Linked DNA regions of Saccharomyces cerevisiae S288C. The protein of the gene in region 3 interacts with the protein of the main gene of each other region in a pairwise test. Each region holds a gene or a part of one and is shown on either strand. Other genes may lie near its edges.

What was found. Proteins that work in one complex are often made in the same cells at the same time.
Region 1: the proteins of SNQ2 (region 3) and TPO1 interact in a protein complementation assay, tested with the Saccharomyces cerevisiae proteins (one large-scale study listed by BioGRID).
Region 2: the proteins of SNQ2 (region 3) and HXT1 interact in binary tests that used the Saccharomyces cerevisiae proteins (3 or more experiments, as listed by UniProt).

What each region holds. Positions count from the first base shown.
Region 1 is NC_001144.5:81,060-87,962, reverse strand, and holds TPO1 (polyamine transporter TPO1), read right to left. Parts: upstream 3,160-6,903; coding exon 1,399-3,159; downstream 1-1,398. Other genes in the region: Fe-binding Fe/S cluster assembly protein ISA1, read right to left, coding at 1-560; FRA1 (aminopeptidase P), read right to left, coding at 4,253-6,502.
Region 2 is NC_001140.6:289,515-296,122, reverse strand, and holds HXT1 (hexose transporter HXT1), read left to right. Parts: upstream 1-3,497; coding exon 3,498-5,210; downstream 5,211-6,608. Other genes in the region: hexose transporter HXT5, read left to right, coding at 1-1,454; AHT1 (Aht1p), read right to left, coding at 6,433-6,608. UniProt on the Saccharomyces cerevisiae protein: Low-affinity glucose transporter. HXT1 is as well involved in the transport of mannose.
Region 3 is NC_001136.10:462,433-471,966, reverse strand, and holds SNQ2 (ATP-binding cassette transporter SNQ2), read right to left. Parts: upstream 6,049-9,534; coding exon 1,543-6,048; downstream 1-1,542. Other genes in the region: 60S ribosomal protein uL4 RPL4B, read right to left, coding at 1-114; YDR010C (uncharacterized protein), read left to right, coding at 6,584-6,916; transcriptional regulator GAL3, read right to left, coding at 6,971-8,533; phosphoribosylanthranilate isomerase TRP1, read right to left, coding at 9,451-9,534. UniProt on the Saccharomyces cerevisiae protein: Could be an ATP-dependent permease. Confers hyper-resistance to the mutagens 4-nitroquinoline-N-oxide (4-NQO) and triaziquone, as well as to the chemicals sulphomethuron methyl phenanthroline when present in multiple copies.

The DNA.
Region 1 (6,903 bases), on a different chromosome or scaffold from region 3:
TATTGTAGATCGTACGTTAGTCCTGAACATCCACGGTTTCTAGCGCTAACTCTAATCAATTTAGGTTCCGGCTGAGCTAGCAGTGCCCTTAAATGCTTGATTGCCTTCGGACTCAGGGTGATCAGCGCCTTTCTTGGTCTCAATTTCCTCTTTCTTTTCTTGGGAGGTTCTGTGCAAGAGCAGTCATTCTTGGATACTGCAGCAGCTATTTGCTCGTCTATAGCTTTATTCTGCTTCTTGATGGCCTCCTCATGAGATTTGATGGTCTCACGCGAAGGGAATGCGTAGCTCGACCACTTCGGGCTTTTAGAAGCCTTGCTACTCTTGCTCTGATTGGAAACTATGAATTTGAAGGGCTTCTTACCTGGACGTTGACTATCTGGAGAGACAGAGTCTGCAGCTGCGGGCACTGTCTTCGGTATGAATTTTAATTTGAAAGGATTTACGTTGTTGATTGTGCGAGACATTGTGCCATTCGTACCGCCTCGCCAAAATCCTCCAGTTGAAAGGAATCTGTGTGCCAGCAGTACTGAATTCCTGCTTCTTCCTGTGTTTATCATTATGTTACGTTATTGTTCCGATCGTTTGTTATACTACCAAATCAAAAAAATCTAAAATGGTCTTTCGTACGAGTGCAAAAATGGTGGCCAAATGTATAAATAAATAAATAAGACGAGTAAAATAATGTCAATAAATAACAGTTTCTTAGTAATTCTAAAGGATTTACAAATATTTGCAAAATTCCATTACTCTTCCTTGCTTTCCTGTCCTCTTTCCCTTTCCTTTATGAATTAAAAGCATCTCAATCTCTTTCCTTTATTCCGTTGAAATTCCCTGTCAATTTTAATCCAAAATAAAGAAGTCATTAAACGGGCATTTACCGGGTGACTGTTATCTGACCAATGAAATCTGAGGGTATGACTAATAAGCCCCCGCCCGAGTTTCGGCCAAGGGTACGGACAACGCCGAGAACCGGCGATGAGAAGAACAATAGCTTTTATCTATTTCTTATTAGAGAGGGATTATTAATCATTAATTAGTGTTTTATTTAGTAACTATGGGCTATACATAACAACCACATAAGAGGAGTCTTGGAGGAAAAAAATGGGAAAAAAAAAAATAGTAGAAAAAAAAGGGGATATCACTACTCTCTAAGTACTCTTGTGCTTGTGCATAGAAAAAGATTTCCTTTGTTCTGTAGTTGTGTGTCTTTTTTGATTGTTTTTTTTTTTTTTTTTAATTTTTTTTTGTAATTTCTTTATATGTCAGCTTTACGCTGCACAGTGTCTATAATGCTATGTCGTTATCGAGCCCTTTGAGCGTGGGGCAGGGTGAGTAATAACAATGAAATAAAAAAATGCAAATATAGAAAGAGCATGATTTCTGCTTTTCTTTTTCTTAAGCGGCGTAAGCATACTTGGATTTCTTTCTGATAGATTCACCATATTTTAAGAATAGTAAAGGCACGGGAATCATCGCAGCGGCAAATAGACCTAATAACAAACCAGCCCAACCGATACCCATGCCACGGAACATATATCCTGCAAACAATGGGAAGCATGCACCAAATGCAGACCTCATGAAAGTGTTTGCTGCGACGGCAGAAGCTGCCAACAATAGATACGATTCAATGATATAGTTTAAACATGGCAAGAAAATACCCATTAAACCGAACCCGATGAAGGCCCCTCCTACTGTGGGGACCATCCAATGAATCTTGTGAGGATAGTAGCCCGTCCAACAGAACCATAAGATACCAATAGGGAAAACGGTACCTGCAATGACCATTGCGTACAATCTGGCCTCGGGCACTAATTTCCCCTTGGCTCTACATCTTTTCAAATAATCGTTGTCCATATACCAAATGAAAGCAGCACACACCATCATACCGATAATCAAGGCGATGTATGGCAACTCACCGTTTTCAGTAAACCCATAACCCTCCACAAAGACAAGTGGGTAGGCTTCCAGTAACAAATACAAGATACCGTAGACAAAAGAGTTGTAAATAGTCACGAATAGTAGCAATGGTTCCACGAAAAGCATAATGATAGGCCTCGTCACAGTTTTTTGGACAATGTCTTTGATGGATAGCTCCACGTCTTCATGAGCAGCATGAATACCCCAGTTATTACTTTGCTTTCTCATCTGTTTGGCCTTGTTAACCAAAATGGTAGGGTGATGTGTTTCTTCAAAGAACAATACGATGGCAACGAAAACTGCGGAAGCGAAACAACCGACAACATATTCTAACCATCTCCAGGTAGTTCTTTGTGCGATATAAGAACCCATGACAGGCGATAAAATGGGGCCTACAAAAACACCTAGAGAAAATAGCGCAATGGCTTTACCTCTAACATTAGTATCAAACATGTCGGCAAACGCGGCGGGGACGACGGCCATGGGTGCTGCCCCGATAAAACCACCAAAGAATCTACATATGAAAATAGTTTGCAGGTTCTCAGCAGTAGCGACAGCAAATTGGAAAAGGGCAAATCCAAACGCAGATAAAACCAGAACACCCTTTCTACCGTACAATTCAGAAAGAGGAGCATAGATAACCGGTGAGGCCGCAAACCCAAGAACAAAAAGCGTGATACCCAAAATGGCGACAACTTCGATGACGTGGTATATCTCGCAGATTTGCGGCACTGCAGAGGCAAAAATGGAAGAACACATAGCAATGGCAATAGAATCCAGACATAAGACCAGACATAGCAGCACTTTCTTCTTCATGGGCCAGTTAAATGGATGTAGTGGGTCGTTAGGACCATCAAAAGTAACCTCGTACAGGTCTCTGCTCGGCAACGATGGAGGGTAAGGTCTGTCACCACCCATGGGCGCACAATTGGTATAATCAACCTCTACACGGTCAGGCTCGTTAACAGACCCAGTAAGGATTTTAGTTAATCTTCTCGTGATATTAACCTCTGATTCTGCAGCAGAATTCATAGTCGTCGTTCTTTGAATCGCTAAATCTGCACCACCATTGCCCTCCGTAGCAGTTGTGTATTTGGCACCTTCACCGGTGAAATCTACAGGTTCGACGCCTGTGGTTCCCGTGGTGCCCGTCGAATGCATATCGCTGGATGAGCTTCTTGACGAGTCTGATGGCAGCAGATGATTTTCCTTATTAGAAATGGGAGAATGATCCGACATTGTCTCTGTCTAGTTTTCTCTTGCTTCTTTGACTAAAAAAAAAAGTGACTGATAAAAGATCCAGAAATAAAGAGTTCCCGATATTTAGTATATGATCTCGTTGCAAGGGTGCGAAGAACCAATTTCAGATTATTGGATTTTTCTCTTCTATAGACCAAGATTATTTTTGAAAACTGGTGACTCAAGGCATACGAGCAGAAAGAAACATCAAGATCAAATGAGGTACCCTTTATATATAGAACACATTACTTGATAGTATATTCTGCACACATAAAAAAAAAAAAGAAAATGACAATGTTCAACGTTAAATTTTTCTTCCTTTTTCTTTAGGGAATTCCTACGATCGTTTCCTTTTAAAGTAAAACTCCCGATACGAAGATTTCTGTGTACCGACGGACGGAAATCTCGAATGGCTCTACTGTGAGACGGCTTCATAGCGACATAGACGGAAGGGTTTGCTTCCTTCCTTCCTTCCGCGTCCGCATCCGTTTCCGCATCCGCCTTCCGTATCCGCTTTTCGCTCGGTGCTTCTCTTTCCACGGAAAATCCTGCTCCTGCTCCATGGAACCAAAGCAACGGGGTCTGGCGGAACCTATAATCCGTTGTGACCGGGCCCGCATAAGGAATTCTCGGCTCTTAAAATAATCTATCCTGCGCAGAAAATACTGGCTGGCAAAAAAGAAATACTAAATCAGACTCCTTGTCTTTACGTTGGCTATGTAGTCCAAGCTTGGCAGTACTACTGGTGCCTGGTTATAAGATTGATTTTTGTGACTCTTGCGGAAAGGTTCGCCGAGCAGGGACCCTGGATGAAAAAATTTCTTGATGAGGCATCAGTATAAATCACTAGGGGGCTGTACATGCATGGTCGTTTAAAATCCGACTACGCACATTAACTCTTTTTGGCACTAAAAGCGCTCGGGGTTAAGTGTACCTACCCCTCTCCGGCCGTAAAAAAATGAAGGTAATGTTTTCAATTTTCACCTTTTAGTCATTATTGTTGTTATTGTTATCACTCAAATTAAATAAAAAGAAAGAAACTACTTAGAATAAATACTAACATTAATTGTATTGCGCCCCGCTCGCCTCGAAGTCATAGTGGGCTTGTTTCTCTTTTCAGCCACTTGTATGAAATACTCTGAGGCTGCAGAAAATGCACTATTGTCCTCCATACCCTTGCGTGGTACTCGTTAATCTGTGTTTTTTCTTCTTCGTTTAGTAACTTAGTATTGATCAACTTCCTGCAATAGGGAACCACAGTCATGTTTTCGAATTTCAAGAAGTTACCCTTCTCAGTGGCCTTCTTGATTAACATGTCGCTTTCAATCCTGATACCATACTCACCATCCTTATAATAACCTGGTTCGTTACTTATTATGTTACCCGCTCTTAAGGGGAAATTCATCAGATGTGGCCTAAAGCCGACACCCATGGGTCCTTCGTGAACGTTTAAAAATGATCCGATACCATGGCCTGTGCCATGTTTGTAATCTAACCCGCGGGACCATAAAAACTGCCTAGCGATGGCGTCGATATTAAACCCGGGAGTGTTTTCGGGAAAAATCAACCTCTCTAGGGCTAAGCCACCTTTAAGTACCAGTGTGTAATTATCCATTTCTTCTTTGGTTGGCTTTGTTAAGTGAATTGTTCTTGTTATATCAGTTGTACCCTCCAAGAATTGCGAACCGGAGTCGCAAAGATATATCTTGGTAGGATCAATCATCGAAGAGTTCTCTACGGGCGGCGAATAATGTATGATGGCGGCGTTACTACCTGTGGAGGATATTGTTTCGAAGGAATTGCCCATGAAGTTCCTTTGGGTTTTCCTAATCTCGGTCAATTTTTCTGCGGCACGATATTCATCTATCAGTGCCTCGCGCCCCACTAATTGCTGCTCCAGCCATGCAAAATACTGCACTAAACATACTGCGTCTTTGACCTGCGCCTTGTGTGCGTTTTTTATTTCGATGTCATTCTTGATAGATTTCAAAACATCGATGGGTGAGTGAATTATCGCAAAGTTTTGTGCAGTCATTTTTTTAGCTATTGCACCGTTAGCGTTGGTTGAGGTGTTCAAACAACGAACCATCTGCCACGATGCACTATCAGGAATCAAAAATTCATGCTCCGCAGAAGAAGCCTGCGAAGTTATCTTTGTTAAATGTTCCCATATCTGTTCGTAAGGTCTGACTTCAATACCGTTTATCTTAAAATATTCCGATATGTCATCATTGAAGGGGTTATTGGTGAAAAGAATGGTTTCGTCTTCGTTAATAGCCACGTAGGAGAAAAAAACTGGATTATAGTCAATGTCGGATCCACGCAAGTTCAACAACCAACAAATTTCATCCAACGCAACTACTATGAAAGTATTCCTACCGGTCGTCGCAGAGGAAGCCTTATCATTCAGCTTTTTCAGTAACTTTTCCTTCTTGTCTTTGAATTCTTCACCATGAAACTCGTATTTTAACAGTAGTAAATCGTTACAAGGCCTTTCAGGTAGAGTTTCAAAATCAGGCCAAATACTGTCAACTAAGTTTTCCTCCACGGGAACCAGCTCCACTTTACCCTTTGCGTCATATTTAGTGTCAATCATTTTTCTAAAAGAAACATAGTCGTTGAAAGTGATAAGTTTTGGGTCAATACCTATCTTCAACACCATTCCCTCTTTATTGCCAAGTCCCTTGGCCATTTCCAAAGCTTCTCTGACACACCATTCTTGCCAAGTGATTGGGTCTTCGTTTTGCCTCAAAAGTGTCCAATTATAATCTAGTTCTTGTCTAGCTTGATTGAAATATCTTCCATCAGTACTCAAAATGGATTTCCCATCCGGATGGTCATCGTTGAAATTTAACAAGTCTCTGGTGATACAGGCTACACCGGCCGATCCGGAAAACCCTGAAATGAAGGCGCGCCTTTGATCTCGCAATGATACATATTCGGACTGATGTTCGTCACAACTGGGCACAATATAACAACACAAATCGTGTTTCTTCATCTCCTGACGCAACTTCAACAATCTATCAGTAGTGTTAACTTCCCTGTTAACAGCGCATAGAGAGTCACATGAGTAAACAGACCCATTTCCAGCACTGCTACCTCCGCCAGCGCCCTTCAACTCGTTGAGAAGCATGCTGGAGGACCTCCTTGAATTTTCTAACTGTCTTAAAAATAGAGAGGCTCTACGACCTTGCCTAGACAGTAAGCCTGGAGAACACGTACAATCCGCACATGGCCTAAACGGTCTGGGGCTGTGTGATGCCGATGTTCCTCTCATGTGCGTGCCAGGTACATGGGAAATCGAGTGAGCCCTGCCGTCACTGGTGGATGGTTTCGAAGTCATATGAAGATTTTGTTTGTAATTATTGGTTTCGCTCTGTTGAGGTCTCCGTTTTTTTTTTATTCTTTTTTTTTTTAGCTATGCAGTCTTTTTGCCAGTGCTTCCTGCCTTTCCTGTATTTGTAAATATTGCACCTATTAAGACTAAACTGACTCAGTTTTTGTATGTCGCTTCCTTCTTGTTCCATCCCTCATTCGAAGTATTTCTGAAAAAAGAAAACGTAGAAGAAAATTCGGGAAAATGGGGTGCGATTTTTAGGGGTCACCCGGGGATATACCTTCGGGTAACACCAGAAGTCGTCAAAAACAAAACAAAATTAAACTAAACTCTGGCGGCTAAAAGATAATCATAATGCACATAGGGAAAGCTTTCTACCATATTTGAACACTTTAACGGTTAGTTGA
Region 2 (6,608 bases), on a different chromosome or scaffold from region 3:
GTTTTGTCAGGCAAACAGACTTCATTAGGCGATTTGGCAGCACCCGTGCAAACGGGACTACCTATCTTTCCGATGTCAGAACCGGTTTGATGGTTTCTATTTTCAACATCGGCTGCGCTATCGGAGGTATAGTTTTGTCAAAGCTCGGTGATATGTATGGACGTAAGATTGGTCTGATGACTGTTGTCGTCATTTACTCAATTGGGATCATCATCCAAATCGCCTCCATTGACAAATGGTATCAATATTTCATTGGAAGAATCATCTCAGGACTGGGCGTTGGTGGTATTACAGTTTTGGCGCCTATGCTAATTTCTGAAGTGTCGCCTAAGCAGTTGCGTGGTACTCTGGTTTCATGTTACCAATTAATGATCACTTTCGGTATCTTTTTGGGATATTGTACTAATTTTGGTACCAAGAATTACTCAAACTCTGTCCAATGGAGGGTACCATTAGGCTTATGCTTTGCATGGTCTATTTTTATGATTGTTGGTATGACGTTCGTTCCTGAATCCCCACGTTATCTGGTAGAAGTGGGAAAAATTGAAGAGGCCAAGCGGTCCTTAGCAAGAGCTAACAAAACCACTGAAGACTCTCCTTTAGTAACTTTAGAAATGGAGAACTATCAGTCTTCTATTGAAGCTGAGAGATTGGCGGGCTCTGCTTCTTGGGGGGAATTGGTTACTGGTAAGCCCCAGATGTTCAGACGTACACTAATGGGTATGATGATTCAATCTTTACAACAGCTGACAGGTGACAATTACTTCTTTTACTATGGTACTACAATTTTCCAGGCTGTTGGTTTGGAAGATTCATTTGAAACTGCTATTGTTTTGGGTGTTGTTAATTTTGTTTCGACTTTTTTCTCGCTATATACCGTCGATCGTTTTGGTCGTCGTAATTGTTTGTTATGGGGCTGTGTAGGTATGATTTGTTGCTATGTCGTCTATGCCTCTGTTGGTGTTACCAGATTATGGCCAAACGGTCAAGATCAACCATCTTCAAAGGGTGCTGGTAACTGTATGATTGTTTTCGCATGTTTCTACATTTTCTGTTTCGCTACCACTTGGGCCCCCGTTGCCTATGTCCTTATCTCTGAGTCGTATCCCTTAAGAGTACGTGGTAAAGCAATGTCGATTGCAAGTGCCTGTAACTGGATTTGGGGGTTCTTGATCAGTTTTTTCACTCCATTTATTACTTCAGCAATCAATTTCTATTATGGCTATGTCTTTATGGGTTGTATGGTGTTCGCATACTTTTATGTGTTCTTCTTTGTTCCAGAGACAAAGGGCTTAACATTAGAAGAAGTCAACGAAATGTATGAAGAAAATGTGCTACCTTGGAAGTCTACCAAATGGATCCCACCATCTAGGAGAACAACAGATTATGACCTAGACGCTACTAGAAATGATCCGAGACCATTTTATAAAAGGATGTTCACTAAAGAAAAATAATCTCTTGTAGTGTAGGATCAACTATTTTCGCATACTTGCAATGTTCAGCATTGCACCATTTCAAATTTTAATATTAATATTAATCGTTTTCGTTCATATGTTCATTCATAGTTTACAAATAATGCAATCATATGCAGAGATATTTTGTCCGTGGTTAATAGGGCTGCCTGTTATTCCTTTAATTCAACTAAATTACGTATGTCTAATAATATCAAAATCATCATGACGTTTTTGTTTTTTTTCTTTATTTTAAGTAGGATCAAACCAGGGGAGAAAGGGTTGCTACGCCTAACAACAAGAACTTGTATATCGTTTCTTGTTACTTATACTTTTCTGCCCACTTCTCTCTTACAACTGCTCGAGCTCATCCTTGGTAATAAAACAGTGAGGACGGTTACTCGAGGTTTCAACAGGGGAAAATAAATTTATATGATGAATCAAGAGCCCCGTTCTTTTACCGTATTATCCTTCATACTACATACTAGGGAAAGAACTGAAAACTCCGCTACCTGCTGTAACAGCGCATAATAAAAAGCAAGAATATAGACAGTTACTGTTGTTTACGTTCTTTGATGACATCATTCTCATCAGACATACAGAAACACATCCTTTTTGTCTACCCCGTATTTATTCCAACTTCAAAGTATAGGTACCGTCCGGTTATACTCTCATATACTTTGTGGCAGTTTGCTTCTTTAAACCTTGTTAACCCAGAATATTTTCAGTGCAAAAAGCTTCCGATCCTCAAATACAGTGAGAGAAAAAGCAAACTTGTCTTCATTATTTTTCTGTTTGGCCCTGTCACGGTTCTTTTTATGGCCTTCTCGAAGGATATCCGTAGTCAATTATATTCACGTAGTTGCCAAAAGTAATTTTTGGAAAACTATTATTCCTCCGAGAAAACCTCACACAGAAATCCTTGCAGGTCTCATCTGGAATATAATTCCCCCCTCCTGAAGCAAATTTTTCCTTTGAGCCGGAATTTTTGATATTCCGAGTTCTTTTTTTCCATTCGCGGAGGTTATTCCATTCCTAAACGAGTGGCCACAATGAAACTTCAATTCATATCGACCGACTATTTTTCTCCGAACCAAAAAAATAGCAGGGCGAGATTGGAGCTGCGGAAAAAAGAGGAAAAAATTTTTTCGTAGTTTTCTTGTGCAAATTAGGGTGTAAGGTTTCTAGGGCTTATTGGTTCAAGCAGAAGAGACAACAATTGTAGGTCCTAAATTCAAGGCGGATGTAAGGAGTATTGGTTTCGAAAGTTTTTCCGAAGCGGCATGGCAGGGACTACTTGCGCATGCGCTCGGATTATCTTCATTTTTGCTTGCAAAAACGTAGAATCATGGTAAATTACATGAAGAATTCTCTTTTTTTTTTTTTTTTTTTTTTTTTTACCTCTAAAGAGTGTTGACCAACTGAAAAAACCCTTCTTCAAGAGAGTTAAACTAAGACTAACCATCATAACTTCCAAGGAATTAATCGATATCTTGCACTCCTGATTTTTCTTCAAAGAGACAGCGCAAAGGATTATGACACTGTTGCATTGAGTCAAAAGTTTTTCCGAAGTGACCCAGTGCTCTTTTTTTTTTTCCGTGAAGGACTGACAAATATGCGCACAAGATCCAATACGTAATGGAAATTCGGAAAAACTAGGAAGAAATGCTGCAGGGCATTGCCGTGCCGATCTTTTGTCTTTCAGATATATGAGAAAAAGAATATTCATCAAGTGCTGATAGAAGAATACCACTCATATGACGTGGGCAGAAGACAGCAAACGTAAACATGAGCTGCTGCGACATTTGATGGCTTTTATCCGACAAGCCAGGAAACTCCACCATTATCTAATGTAGCAAAATATTTCTTAACACCCGAAGTTGCGTGTCCCCCTCACGTTTTTAATCATTTGAATTAGTATATTGAAATTATATATAAAGGCAACAATGTCCCCATAATCAATTCCATCTGGGGTCTCATGTTCTTTCCCCACCTTAAAATCTATAAAGATATCATAATCGTCAACTAGTTGATATACGTAAAATCATGAATTCAACTCCCGATCTAATATCTCCTCAGAAATCCAATTCATCCAACTCATATGAATTGGAATCTGGTCGTTCAAAGGCCATGAATACTCCAGAAGGTAAAAATGAAAGTTTTCACGACAACTTAAGTGAAAGTCAAGTGCAACCCGCCGTTGCCCCTCCAAACACCGGAAAAGGTGTCTACGTAACGGTTTCTATCTGTTGTGTTATGGTTGCTTTCGGTGGTTTCATATTTGGATGGGATACTGGTACCATTTCTGGTTTTGTTGCTCAAACTGATTTTCTAAGAAGATTTGGTATGAAGCACCACGACGGTAGTCATTACTTGTCCAAGGTGAGAACTGGTTTAATTGTCTCTATTTTTAACATTGGTTGTGCCATTGGTGGTATCGTCTTAGCCAAGCTAGGTGATATGTATGGTCGTAGAATCGGTTTGATTGTCGTTGTAGTAATCTACACTATCGGTATCATTATTCAAATAGCCTCGATCAACAAGTGGTACCAATATTTCATTGGTAGAATTATCTCTGGTTTAGGTGTCGGTGGTATCACAGTTTTATCTCCCATGCTAATATCTGAGGTCGCCCCCAGTGAAATGAGAGGCACCTTGGTTTCATGTTACCAAGTCATGATTACTTTAGGTATTTTCTTAGGTTACTGTACCAATTTTGGTACCAAGAATTACTCAAACTCTGTCCAATGGAGAGTTCCATTAGGTTTGTGTTTCGCCTGGGCCTTATTTATGATTGGTGGTATGATGTTTGTTCCTGAATCTCCACGTTATTTGGTTGAAGCTGGCAGAATCGACGAAGCCAGGGCTTCTTTAGCTAAAGTTAACAAATGCCCACCTGACCATCCATACATTCAATATGAGTTGGAAACTATCGAAGCCAGTGTCGAAGAAATGAGAGCCGCTGGTACTGCATCTTGGGGCGAATTATTCACTGGTAAACCAGCCATGTTTCAACGTACTATGATGGGTATCATGATTCAATCTCTACAACAATTAACTGGTGATAACTATTTCTTCTACTACGGTACCATTGTTTTCCAGGCTGTCGGTTTAAGTGACTCTTTTGAAACTTCTATTGTCTTTGGTGTCGTCAACTTCTTCTCCACTTGTTGTTCTCTGTACACCGTTGACCGTTTTGGCCGTCGTAACTGTTTGATGTGGGGTGCTGTCGGTATGGTCTGCTGTTATGTTGTCTATGCCTCTGTTGGTGTTACCAGATTATGGCCAAACGGTCAAGATCAACCATCTTCAAAGGGTGCTGGTAACTGTATGATTGTTTTCGCATGTTTCTACATTTTCTGTTTCGCTACTACCTGGGCCCCAATTGCTTACGTTGTTATTTCAGAATGTTTCCCATTAAGAGTCAAATCCAAGTGTATGTCTATTGCCAGTGCTGCTAACTGGATCTGGGGTTTCTTGATTAGTTTCTTCACCCCATTTATTACTGGTGCCATCAACTTCTACTACGGTTACGTTTTCATGGGCTGTATGGTTTTCGCTTACTTTTACGTCTTTTTCTTCGTTCCAGAAACTAAAGGTTTATCATTAGAAGAAGTTAATGATATGTACGCCGAAGGTGTTCTACCATGGAAATCAGCTTCCTGGGTTCCAGTATCCAAGAGAGGCGCTGACTACAACGCTGATGACCTAATGCATGATGACCAACCATTTTACAAGAGTTTGTTTAGCAGGAAATAAACTAAACAAGCTCAATATGCATATTTTAATGACTTATACAGTATTTAATTTCTCAGTAAATTTTATAAAGGTGATATTATATTGGTGTTAAAACAAAATTCTTGTCAAATTCATAAACAGATGTTCTTTTCTTTGCTAGTTCTTGACCTTCACCAAGGAACAAGAAATTTCATTCTGGCACTCTTCCGAGGAAAAATTTTATATGATATAGTATGGGTTAATACCACATAGGCGCTATACATAGTTCAAACGCCCGCTTATGATTTCGGAAAAATGTCAAATGAATAGAAATTGACAACGCTGCTGCTTCAACATCTAGTAGTGTTACTTAAGCCTGTTAGGATGTTGTTTTTAGGTATTTATAATTACTAGCAATAATTTCCATTAACAGATAACCGAGTCGATCTCAATGGATATACAGTTGCCAATCATATGTATTTTCTGACTGGCACAGGGAGACACGAAAAACACTTGCTTGATAAGAGGTGAAGCAGTAAAGAAAAGACGACAAGTAAAAAAAAAATGACGAGAAAATGCACGCTACCATCGAAAAGGCGACCTTTCCAATCCACTAAGAGTTACTTTAAAATCGTTGAAAAAGCATTATGACACTATGTTTGGCGCCAATAAGAATACTACGTCATTATGCATGGAGGAGAACCGAATATTTTTTTTTTATTCCAGCCCTCTTCATGTAAATGTTCTGATTGATAAAAGAATGAAAAGCCCTAGGGTTATTAAATCCAAAACTTAGGCTGCCAACCTGACATTGTAGACAAGACACGACAGCGGTAAGAGAAGATCTGAACAGCTGACGCAAGTACCCCAGATATTTTCCAACTTTTACGGGAAAAAAGACTAATAGGAAGGAGGTGGGGAATCATGCTTTAGTTTCAACTTTGAGGTTTAGCTTTCAGACACGAAAACTAGAAGGAACATTATGTTGTTTCACTTTCATTTTGGAACAGAACTACGCTACCGCATCAATTTGCGGGAATTTTGATTTGGCAACGCGCACGTATTTTCTAGCGATGCGTAAAAGTAAAACAGTCAAGATAGTCTCATCCTAGATGGTGCAAAGTTAGGACCGAAAAGCCAGGTTCAACGATGTTGCCAAATAGTCGTACCTGAAAAGCTTAGGTTTTCCATTTATGCGAATATCTCTATGCAAAATAAATTTTAAGTACCTCAAAATTTTTTTGCACCGATCAAGATATAATAATCAGATGAGAATGAATAAACAAGACGCAGATGAAGGCTGGGCCTCCAACGAAACCCAGTACACTGCAGTAATTTCCACCAAGAAACGCTTGGCCTTCGTAAAGTCACTTGCAGCAGCATAGCGGAAACAAGGAAGAAAAATATCCGAGTCAGCTGGTTCCGGGATTTTTTTTTGCC
Region 3 (9,534 bases):
AACAGTGTGGACAATGTCAGGACGGATAGGAGCGGAGAAGACAGCTGGCAATGGCAAGGCATTGGCAGTAGCTTCACCAGTCAAAGAGTGAACAGTAACTTGTGGACGGGACATTATTATTGGTATATACCCTAGTAAATGACTATGAATATGTAAGCGATTGCTGATAGGAAAGAAATATTATTTTCAATAATAATAGTAGTGTAACGTATTCATGATCTTCATGAAAACTTTTCCAGAGTACTTGAAAAAAAAAAAATGTTAAAAAAATTGCGTCTGCGCGATGCTTTCGTAAATAATTATATTTCTAACGGAATAGACAATTCATGCCTTCAGTGCAGTTCTTAGCAATATGCGCAGTTGTTTTATAATTCAGATACGCTGAGGAAAGCGCTTCTAAATTGTTATTTTCCCATTTGTTCCAATCTATCAAAACTAACGTTATCTATATTCAAAAATTCCTGTAAGATGAATACCGTTACGATAAATAAGGCAGGACTTACGGAACATGTAGGGTCCGGATAAGGGTTGCTTTATTGCGAAATGTTCTTATAGTGCAACCCTTAATAGAGTTATGAAAACTTTTCATAAAACAGAAAATTTTTATCACTCTTTTCAACCAAGCTGTCGAATGAACTATGCAGAAAAAAAGAATAATAAAAAATTACAATTTGGTAATTGGGAGAGGTCGCTGCATGCACTTCTTAAGACAAAAATAAGTTTACTCATTTTCTAAGTTGGTCAGCTGTAATCTATCGTGGTCATTTCTTGTTCTCACTTCTTTCGAATATTATTTCTGAAAAATACTGCTGCAATATAGTATATGTTGTTCAATCACAAAGCTCCAGGGTATGACTTGCCACAATAGTGATTTGCAAATATAAGCAGACATTAGTGGGCAAGTTAACCGTTTAGCAACACTATTGTTTCTACTGGATGTCTTTCCTTTGAGTAATATAGAATGACCTTCCTAAATAGAATAAGACACAGAAACTGTGGTATGGAGGCTGTTGTTTTCCTGTGTCCAATTTTTTTATTTTCTTTTGTCTAAAGAAGGGACAGGACAGGTAAGGGTTGACAGGCCAGATAATTTACCAAGTTTTGTTAATCATATGAAAGGGATATAAAAATGAAACAAAATAGAAAAAATGTAGAAACACTAAATTTGAAGTTCAATTTTGGTGACCAGTTTGAGGAGCCTCAGTTTTTTTGTCTTATTCTTTTCGTTTAGCTTGTACTTGCAACACCTTGCTTAGATCGTAATCCAATATTTTGAGTCGAAACCCAAGGGTAAAATAAACTTTTTTACTCAACAAGACTTGACTTTTGAAAACTACGAGAGTTATACACAATGTAACTATTAACATGGTAATACAAGACTTTTTTTTTGTATCTATTATAAACTATACTTATTGTTAATTATATGAATGTCAGTATAAAAGTGAAACGAGATGTACTCGTGTCTTCTTCTATAGTGTAAAATGAGAATTAAGAATTAAAGGCAGATGAATGCACAAAATGTTAAGTTATCTGAAGCCCACATTACTGCTTCTTTTTCCTTATGTTTTTAATTTTATTGAGTATAGATACGGGGCTTAGGAAGGAAGATTGTCTTACATGGAAGAGGTAATACACACAAACCATAGCAATGATATTGAAGAAAATGTAAATCCAAAATATTCCAAAATTTCTCCACAAGTAGCTATACTTAGAGCTGATATGTGTCAAATAATTATCTCCAACTTCGTAAATACAGTATGCACAATCTGACGTAGCATCAGGATTTTCGATGTAACCAGTAGCTTTTTCCAAAAAGGGTTTCATGTACTCTCCACACGTTGAGCCGTTTGGTGGGTTGAAGTAGTTTAGTTCTTTCTTTTTGCATACGACTGGTTTTTTGTGCAGCATAATTCCGACCAGATTCTGAACAAAATATGTGTATGGGGAAGCCTTCCACATGAATGTCCAGAAGCCAGGCATCAATGAGACAGGTTGTGTAACACCACAGAAAGAAAGCATAAATGACAGACACAAACCTAAGATAACATTAGCGGATGGAAGGTTCGGTGACATATATAGGATCATTAAGCCAAGACCAACATAGTATAACTGGAACATAATGCAGTAATTCAAAAAGTACACCGCAGATCTTGACGCTTCGAAGAAGATTCTTAATGGAAAATACGATGAGACAAAGAAAATTGTCGAAAAAAATAAATGATAGGGAAGTTCGCTCAAGTACTGAGTGATCAACACCAGCGACCAGTGAAACATGTTAGATTGGGATTCCCTAACTTCAAAAAGTTCTCTGGAGGCAATAGCACGTCCTTGGATTTGGTTCATTGCAGGAGCAGACAAGATAATAGAGATAAATGCCGCGAACATCGCATTTTGTAAGCCGACATAACTTTTACCAACATTGAAAAATGTGAAACCAATATACAGACCACCAACCAGCATTAGCATCATCTTTGACATGATGTAATTCAGACTTCTCCAAAATGAAGTAGAGGTTCTGATTAAAACATATCTGAACTGGTAAGCATAAGAAGTAGCATATTTGGAAGGTTTGTCTCCAACTTCGGATTTAGTTTCTTGTTTCGATAAATCATTTATTAAATCCTGTACTTTTTCTTTTGTTTGTTCAAACTCGACAGAGTTCAACCATTTTTCGTGCCAGTCTTCTTTGACGGATGCTGTGGCACCGGCACCAATAGCCTCTAAAATATATTCAGCAGGATTTTCACTAGAATCACATTTTCTTGCCCCATTCCTTTCAAAGTAGTTCAAAATGGTGGCAGAGTTCTTACCAATATCTCCGAAATAAACAGTTTGTCCACCCTTCCTCAAAAGTAGTAATCTATCAAACTCTTCGAACAGAGTAGCTGAAGGTTGATGGATCGTACAAAGAATGGATTGGCCAGCTTTTGATAACTTTCTTAATAATTGAATAATGGCCCATGAAGATTGAGAATCCAAACCTGATGTAGGTTCATCGAGGAATAATAATAAGTCTGGTTTGGCGACTAGTTCAACACCAATAGACAGCTTCTTTCTCTGTTCAACGTTTAAACCACAACCAACCTCACCAACAAGGGCTTCCGCATACTCTTCCATTCCCAAAACTCTGATGATTTTTTCCACATAATCCATTTTTTCAGAATCAGGCAAATGCTGAGGGCGACGCATACGAGCAGAAAACTGCAACGATTCCCTAACAGTTAACTCTGCGATATGTATATCCTGTTGTTGTACATAACCTGTACGCCTTTCGAAACTCGCATCAATGGGACGTCCATTGACAAGCATATCACCAGTAATGATACCGACATTTCTTTGAGCAAGAGTATTTAACAAAGTTGTTTTACCAGCACCTGACTCTCCCATCAAGGCCGTCATGGTACCTGGAATACAATAACCTGAAACATTATCCAAAAGCATTCTCTTACCGCCTTCATATGGAATAGTAAAGCATACGTCCTTCCAAATGAAAACACCTTTGGCTTCTAAATCATCAAATACTTCATCATTTGCGCCGCTACTTTCACTGGAGAATTGCTCTTTGGCATCTATATCATTGACATTGTCTGGAGATTCTTCATCTGCATGTGCGATAAATCTTTTTGATCCTTTCTTGAAGATAAGAGCATCACCACCACCTTTCACAGGCCTCTTATATTCTGTGAATATCACTTTCAAAACAACATAACCCAGTAAAAAGCACCACAAGATACCAAAGTTTCTCCACGTGTGCTTATAAACGTACTGAAATTGATTTTTAAGGTAGTCATCACCAAGCACATAAGACTGACCTGGTTTCGAACCAACAAAAGCACATACTTTGTAGTCATCGGATAAATTATCATAGTCTCCTCCACTGGGTACTAGAGTGTTAGCACAATCCATATGCCTACCGTGAAATTCGGCATTTAACATCGACTCGAAGGCGTACCTGATAGGTAGTACGTACGATATCCATTTAAACCATGGATGCATCGAAGGCAATTGGATCATATAGGTAGAGTACATTGAGATAGACATCATCAGAATACCCGAGATAGAGTTAGCTTGAGAAAGAGTGTCACATACTGAAGAAACCATCTCAAATAAACCATTGATCGCCTCTGAACACATGGTTAAGAACAAATAGATGGTAAAAAATGATCCCGCTGTTCTGTGCAACCCAGATAGGAAGAATAAAATGATAAAGAAACAGGTCAAACCAATCATTCTGAAGGGGAAAGATGCCAGAGTGGAGCCAATTGCCTCAGCTGAAGGATGATACAAAGAATAGCCCTTGTGCTTTTGTAAGATTGGCCTATGTTCAAAAGAAATATTCGCCAGTCCCATCAAAGAATAATATAGTAGCGCAAAATACAACACACCACCTCTTGAAAAAGCACCGGAAGTGGATGAAGGGGTATTGTAAAATAATGATCCAGTAATAAAAGATTGAATTATTGCAGAGCAGACATTGATGACTGTATAACTCTTGTTACCGTAAATTCTTTGGAACCCACGTTGGGTACACAGTTTAACTTGTTCCCAATATGACACTGTATAATAAGACTTCTTTCTCGTATATTTGGATTTCTCTTGAGCCATCGATTCGTCATAAACTTCTTTAGTCTTTTCGGTATTGACCTTCTCTTTATAAGCAGCGATATCTTTTTTCATTTGAGCAAACTCTGGAGAATTTAACCAATATGTTTCGAATTCCTCAGCGGTTCTTGGTACTTTATTTTCATAACCTGGCTTGATCAGATGGAATCCATTTGGATCAGTCAACGCGGTTAAAAATTCAGCTGTTGCTTGCCTTGGAGGACACAAATAACCCATTTTTGCGAAATAAGGTTTTGCCTCGTGGATCAAACCAAAATAAATTTGCTTACCAGAATAAAGGACAGTGACTTTATCAAATGTTTCGTAAATGTTTTCACTTGCCTGATAAATTGTAACAAAAGCGGTTGATTTCAATAAGTTTGTCATAATACGGATGGCTTTTGCGTATTCTAAGGCCGTAGACGCATCCAAACCTCTAGTGGCATTATCCCAACAGTAAATGGAACCTTTGGCTGCCAAAGCCTCGGCAATGGAAACACGCTTACGTTCACCACCAGATACACCTCTAACGAAATCGTTACCAACTTTGGTATTATAGGTATGCCTTAGACCGAAAATGGTTGCATATAAATCTCTTCTGGATGCAATGTATTCCTTTTTGGAAACGTTATTGACTCTGAGAGCAGGCGTTTTGCAGGCAATAGCGAAATCCAAAGTTTGCTTAACTGTTAAATAAGGGAAATGAACATCCAACTCACCATTGTAAATAACATCTGCTTTATATCGTTTCATCATTTCTTCTTGGGGAATACCATCATATGCTACTTCACCGGAAACACCACCGGCAAACTGATCTATTTCACCAGCTGTTACTTTTAAAAAGGAGGAACAACCAGCACCAGGCCTTCCAAGAACCAAAATCATTTCACCCGCTTCTGCCAGGGCATTGACATTGCTTATGATCTGTCTCATCTTTTGATGCCTCTTAGCCTTAATACCTTTAAAGATGGTCAACGGTAAACAAAGAATGTTACCAAAGGTAGCACCTTCTAGGGCACTCGCATCCACACCTTTAGCGCTTACGTCCTCTATGGTAACACCAGCCTTGCGGATATGGATGCCTTGCTCATCAGCGTCTCTTACAAAACTTTCAAAGATGGCATGGGCATCGAACCCATCGTCACTATCTGAATCCATATTAAAGGCACCGCTTCTCGTTGTATGACGGGATAGTGCATCTGCAAATGACTCCACTTTAGATACGACATCTGGCGCCATTTCAGACACAGTGGCACTAATCTGGCTCGCAGTGTCTCTTGCAGGTCCTGTCAGCATTTTTGTTAGTTTATCCGCCGGGGTATCGCTCTGCTCATCTTTGTCATGGGTTATGCCCGTAAATGATTCTTCTGAAGCTGCAAAAGAAGCGCTTGAGCTTCTAGCGACAGCATTATGAGAGCTATCTTGCGTGCTTTTGATATTGCTCATTGAATTCTCTTTACGTATTTTGGTAGCTGTGTTATTCTATCCACTTTTTTACTGCTTTCGGTCTTCGATATAGTTTTTCTTTTTTTATGTCTCTGCGGGTACGTCCGCTATACCTTCGTTTTCTCAGGGAGCTTGAACTCTAATCAATGGAAGGAGAAAATAATCAATGTTGAAGACGATGGATGCACTGAGAATGTAATGCACTGGTGATATAGTAACTCCTATATCCTACAGTGAGCTTTTTTTTTTTTGACCTCGCAACACTTCAACTTGAAAAACAAAAGATACAAATACACTAGGTTCGTATATATTGTTTTCGTTAGGTATTTATTTATCTACAAGCATATACAAGCATAAAAAGTGGTGAGGCGATAGCGGTGAGGGAGGGGCACTACTCATCATTTGTTTTATATGTTGATGTTGCGTAGTCACTATTAGTAATACCAATACCCAGCGGGGTTGCAGGGAATACAATGGAAAGACCTAAAGAAAATAGAAAACGGATTTAAACGGAAATGGGCGGACATTTAGTCATATGTGCGCGGAACCAGACGACTGGGAAAGGATCGAAAGGCATCCGCGGAAACTTAAAATAGCTCCGCGGATGCTAGATTTCTACGAGTCATACATAGTCTGGCGTGAAGGTAATTTTTTTTTATGTCTCCGTTCTTTTCCAAATGGGGTGATCCGTGGAGGGCGGTGCTTCTTTCGCGCCACTTCCTTGCCGTGGAAAAATGTGTACGGTTACCATGGTCACATAACCTCTGTGTGCGGAGCCACTCTGACTCGCATCAACCGGGCTATGGTTGCATCGGATGCTGGAATGGGTTCTATTGGACTCACCAACTTGTTTCTTTATAGAGTGTAAGAGGTATGAGTAAACTTTTAATATTTAAAGGTTGTTCCAAGAAGGTGTTTAGTGTTATTGTTCGTACAAACAAGTACCCAAGGCAGGCTTCGAAACTATAATTGCGTCTTTTAGTTCTTCATCTGTGAGATCCGGATATCTTACATTGTAGAATTTTTCGATTAGTGCTTTTCGTACCTGTTCCACGTTCCCATTAGCGCCACTAGGAACAAGGTGGATAGTGCAACCGCCCCAACCAGCGCCAGTGAGACGGGAGCCGAAAGAACCATTTGCTAGGGCAATCGAGCATATTTGATTGGTTTCTATGCACGAACATTCATAAAGTTTATCACAAGAGGCCTGGGACTCATTCATTAGTCGGCCAAAATCTGTAAAGAAATCTTCGTCCGTGTGAAAAGTGGCACTTGTCATCATTTTTAAAGCCTTAAGCACCCTTAAGGATTCGGAGTAAACGTGTTTAGCTCTTTGATATAGTTTCAAGACTTGGAAGCGGACGGGAAAAGTTGTCAGGTAATCTCTAGTGAACTCCTCACGTGAACAGTTTAGCGCCGTAGAGGCTTCATGTACAGTGAATCCGCTCTTTTTCCTCGAGAAAGATTCTTCTACCAATTGTAGCATCTTGAGTAAACGTTCAATACCAGTTCCGATATCTCCATTCCATGGTTGGGCTTGGTTTTCGTATCTGGCGTAGTAAGCATCCATAAAATCTCTTAGATTCCCTCTTTCTGAGTTAGAATTGTCCTTGTGAGATGGTAAGGCCACGCTGTATCTGGTCGCCAAGGCGTTGGCAGCAACTGTTACCTCTATTACTCTTAAATTGTAATTTGTAGGAGCAGTTTCGAATTTATTAGACTTTACAAGAGTATTGGCGATGACGAAACTGATTTCATGATTTTTCAATTGAGGAAACTTGAAAGGTGTGGCCTTTAGTTTTGGCCTAAACTCTACGTATAGAGCATGATCTTCTTCCCCATAAACAGACGTTGCTTGATCCATACCACCATTATTGACTCCAACATAGTGCTCAGCAACCGCTGTGATGCGGGTCAAGTCTTTTTTGGAAATATCAAAATTTTTTCCCATATTGGCTCTAATTGTGGCTAGTGCTGCCGCGCAAGTAAATGCAGATGAGAGTCCACCACCAGTAGGAATATCGCTCTGGCAAAAGATCTGCGCACCTACTAAGGGTGTATTATTAAATCTTTCCGGAGCAATTTTTTTCAAGTATGAATGTGCCACATGTAGTCCGCATTTAAAGTAATTCGACCATTCCGACACAGACGGATCTATGGCCATGTAGGAACCATCTAAAGGCAGATCAAACTTTCGCTGAGCAAATTTAGGGTCCGCATTTGTTAAGGTAATGGATGGATTTTTTTCGTCTAAAATTTTAACTGCGCAAAGCATATCCACATCAATGGCTAATGGCAAAACTGAAAAATCGCAATAATCTATATGCTCACCAATCAGATTTACTCTGCCAGGAGACCTAGCGATAAAATCAGGTTTGACATGGTATGTTTGGAAAAATGCATCTACAACCGCTAAATGTTTTTGTTCGAAAGACCTTGGTAAATCTCTGACCGGAGAACTGAATATTGGAACGTTTGTATTCATACTATGTGTTGCCCTACCTTTTTACTTTTATTTTCTCTTTTTGCACTCCTGATTCCGCTAATAGGAAGTATGAATACCTGGGGTTGTCAATGTGGTAACAAAGGTGTTGCCTCACTTGTCGCTTATGATGATTATATACGTTTCAGTAAAAATTTTACTGCCTATGTGTTGCAGGCGGTCAATCAATTGCATAAAAGACCGTGTGATGGCTTGGCATGGCGATTTCATTCTTTCAAGAATTCCACATGTTAAAATAGTGAAGGAGCATGTTCGGCACACAGTGGACCGAACGTGGGGTAAGTGCACTAGGGTCCGGTTAAACGGATCTCGCATTGATGAGGCAACGCTAATTATCAACATATAGATTGTTATCTATCTGCATGAACACGAAATCTTTACTTGACGACTTGAGGCTGATGGTGTTTATGCAAAGAAACCACTGTGTTTAATATGTGTCACTGTTTGATATTACTGTCAGCGTAGAAGATAATAGTAAAAGCGGTTAATAAGTGTATTTGAGATAAGTGTGATAAAGTTTTTACAGCGAAAAGACGATAAATACAAGAAAATGATTACGAGGATACGGAGAGAGGTATGTACATGTGTATTTATATACTAAGCTGCCGGCGGTTGTTTGCAAGACCGAGAAAAGGCTAGCAAGAATCGGGTCATTGTAGCGTATGCGCCTGTGAACATTCTCTTCAACAAGTTTGATTCCATTGCGGTGAAATGGTAAAAGTCAACCCCCTGCGATGTATATTTTCCTGTACAATCAATCAAAAAGCCAAATGATTTAGCATTATCTTTACATCTTGTTATTTTACAGATTTTATGTTTAGATCTTTTATGCTTGCTTTTCAAAAGGCCTGCAGGCAAGTGCACAAACAATACTTAAATAAATACTACTCAGTAATAACCTATTTCTTAGCATTTTTGACGAAATTTGCTATTTTGTTAGAGTCTTTTACACCATTTGTCTCCACACCTCCGCTTACATCAAC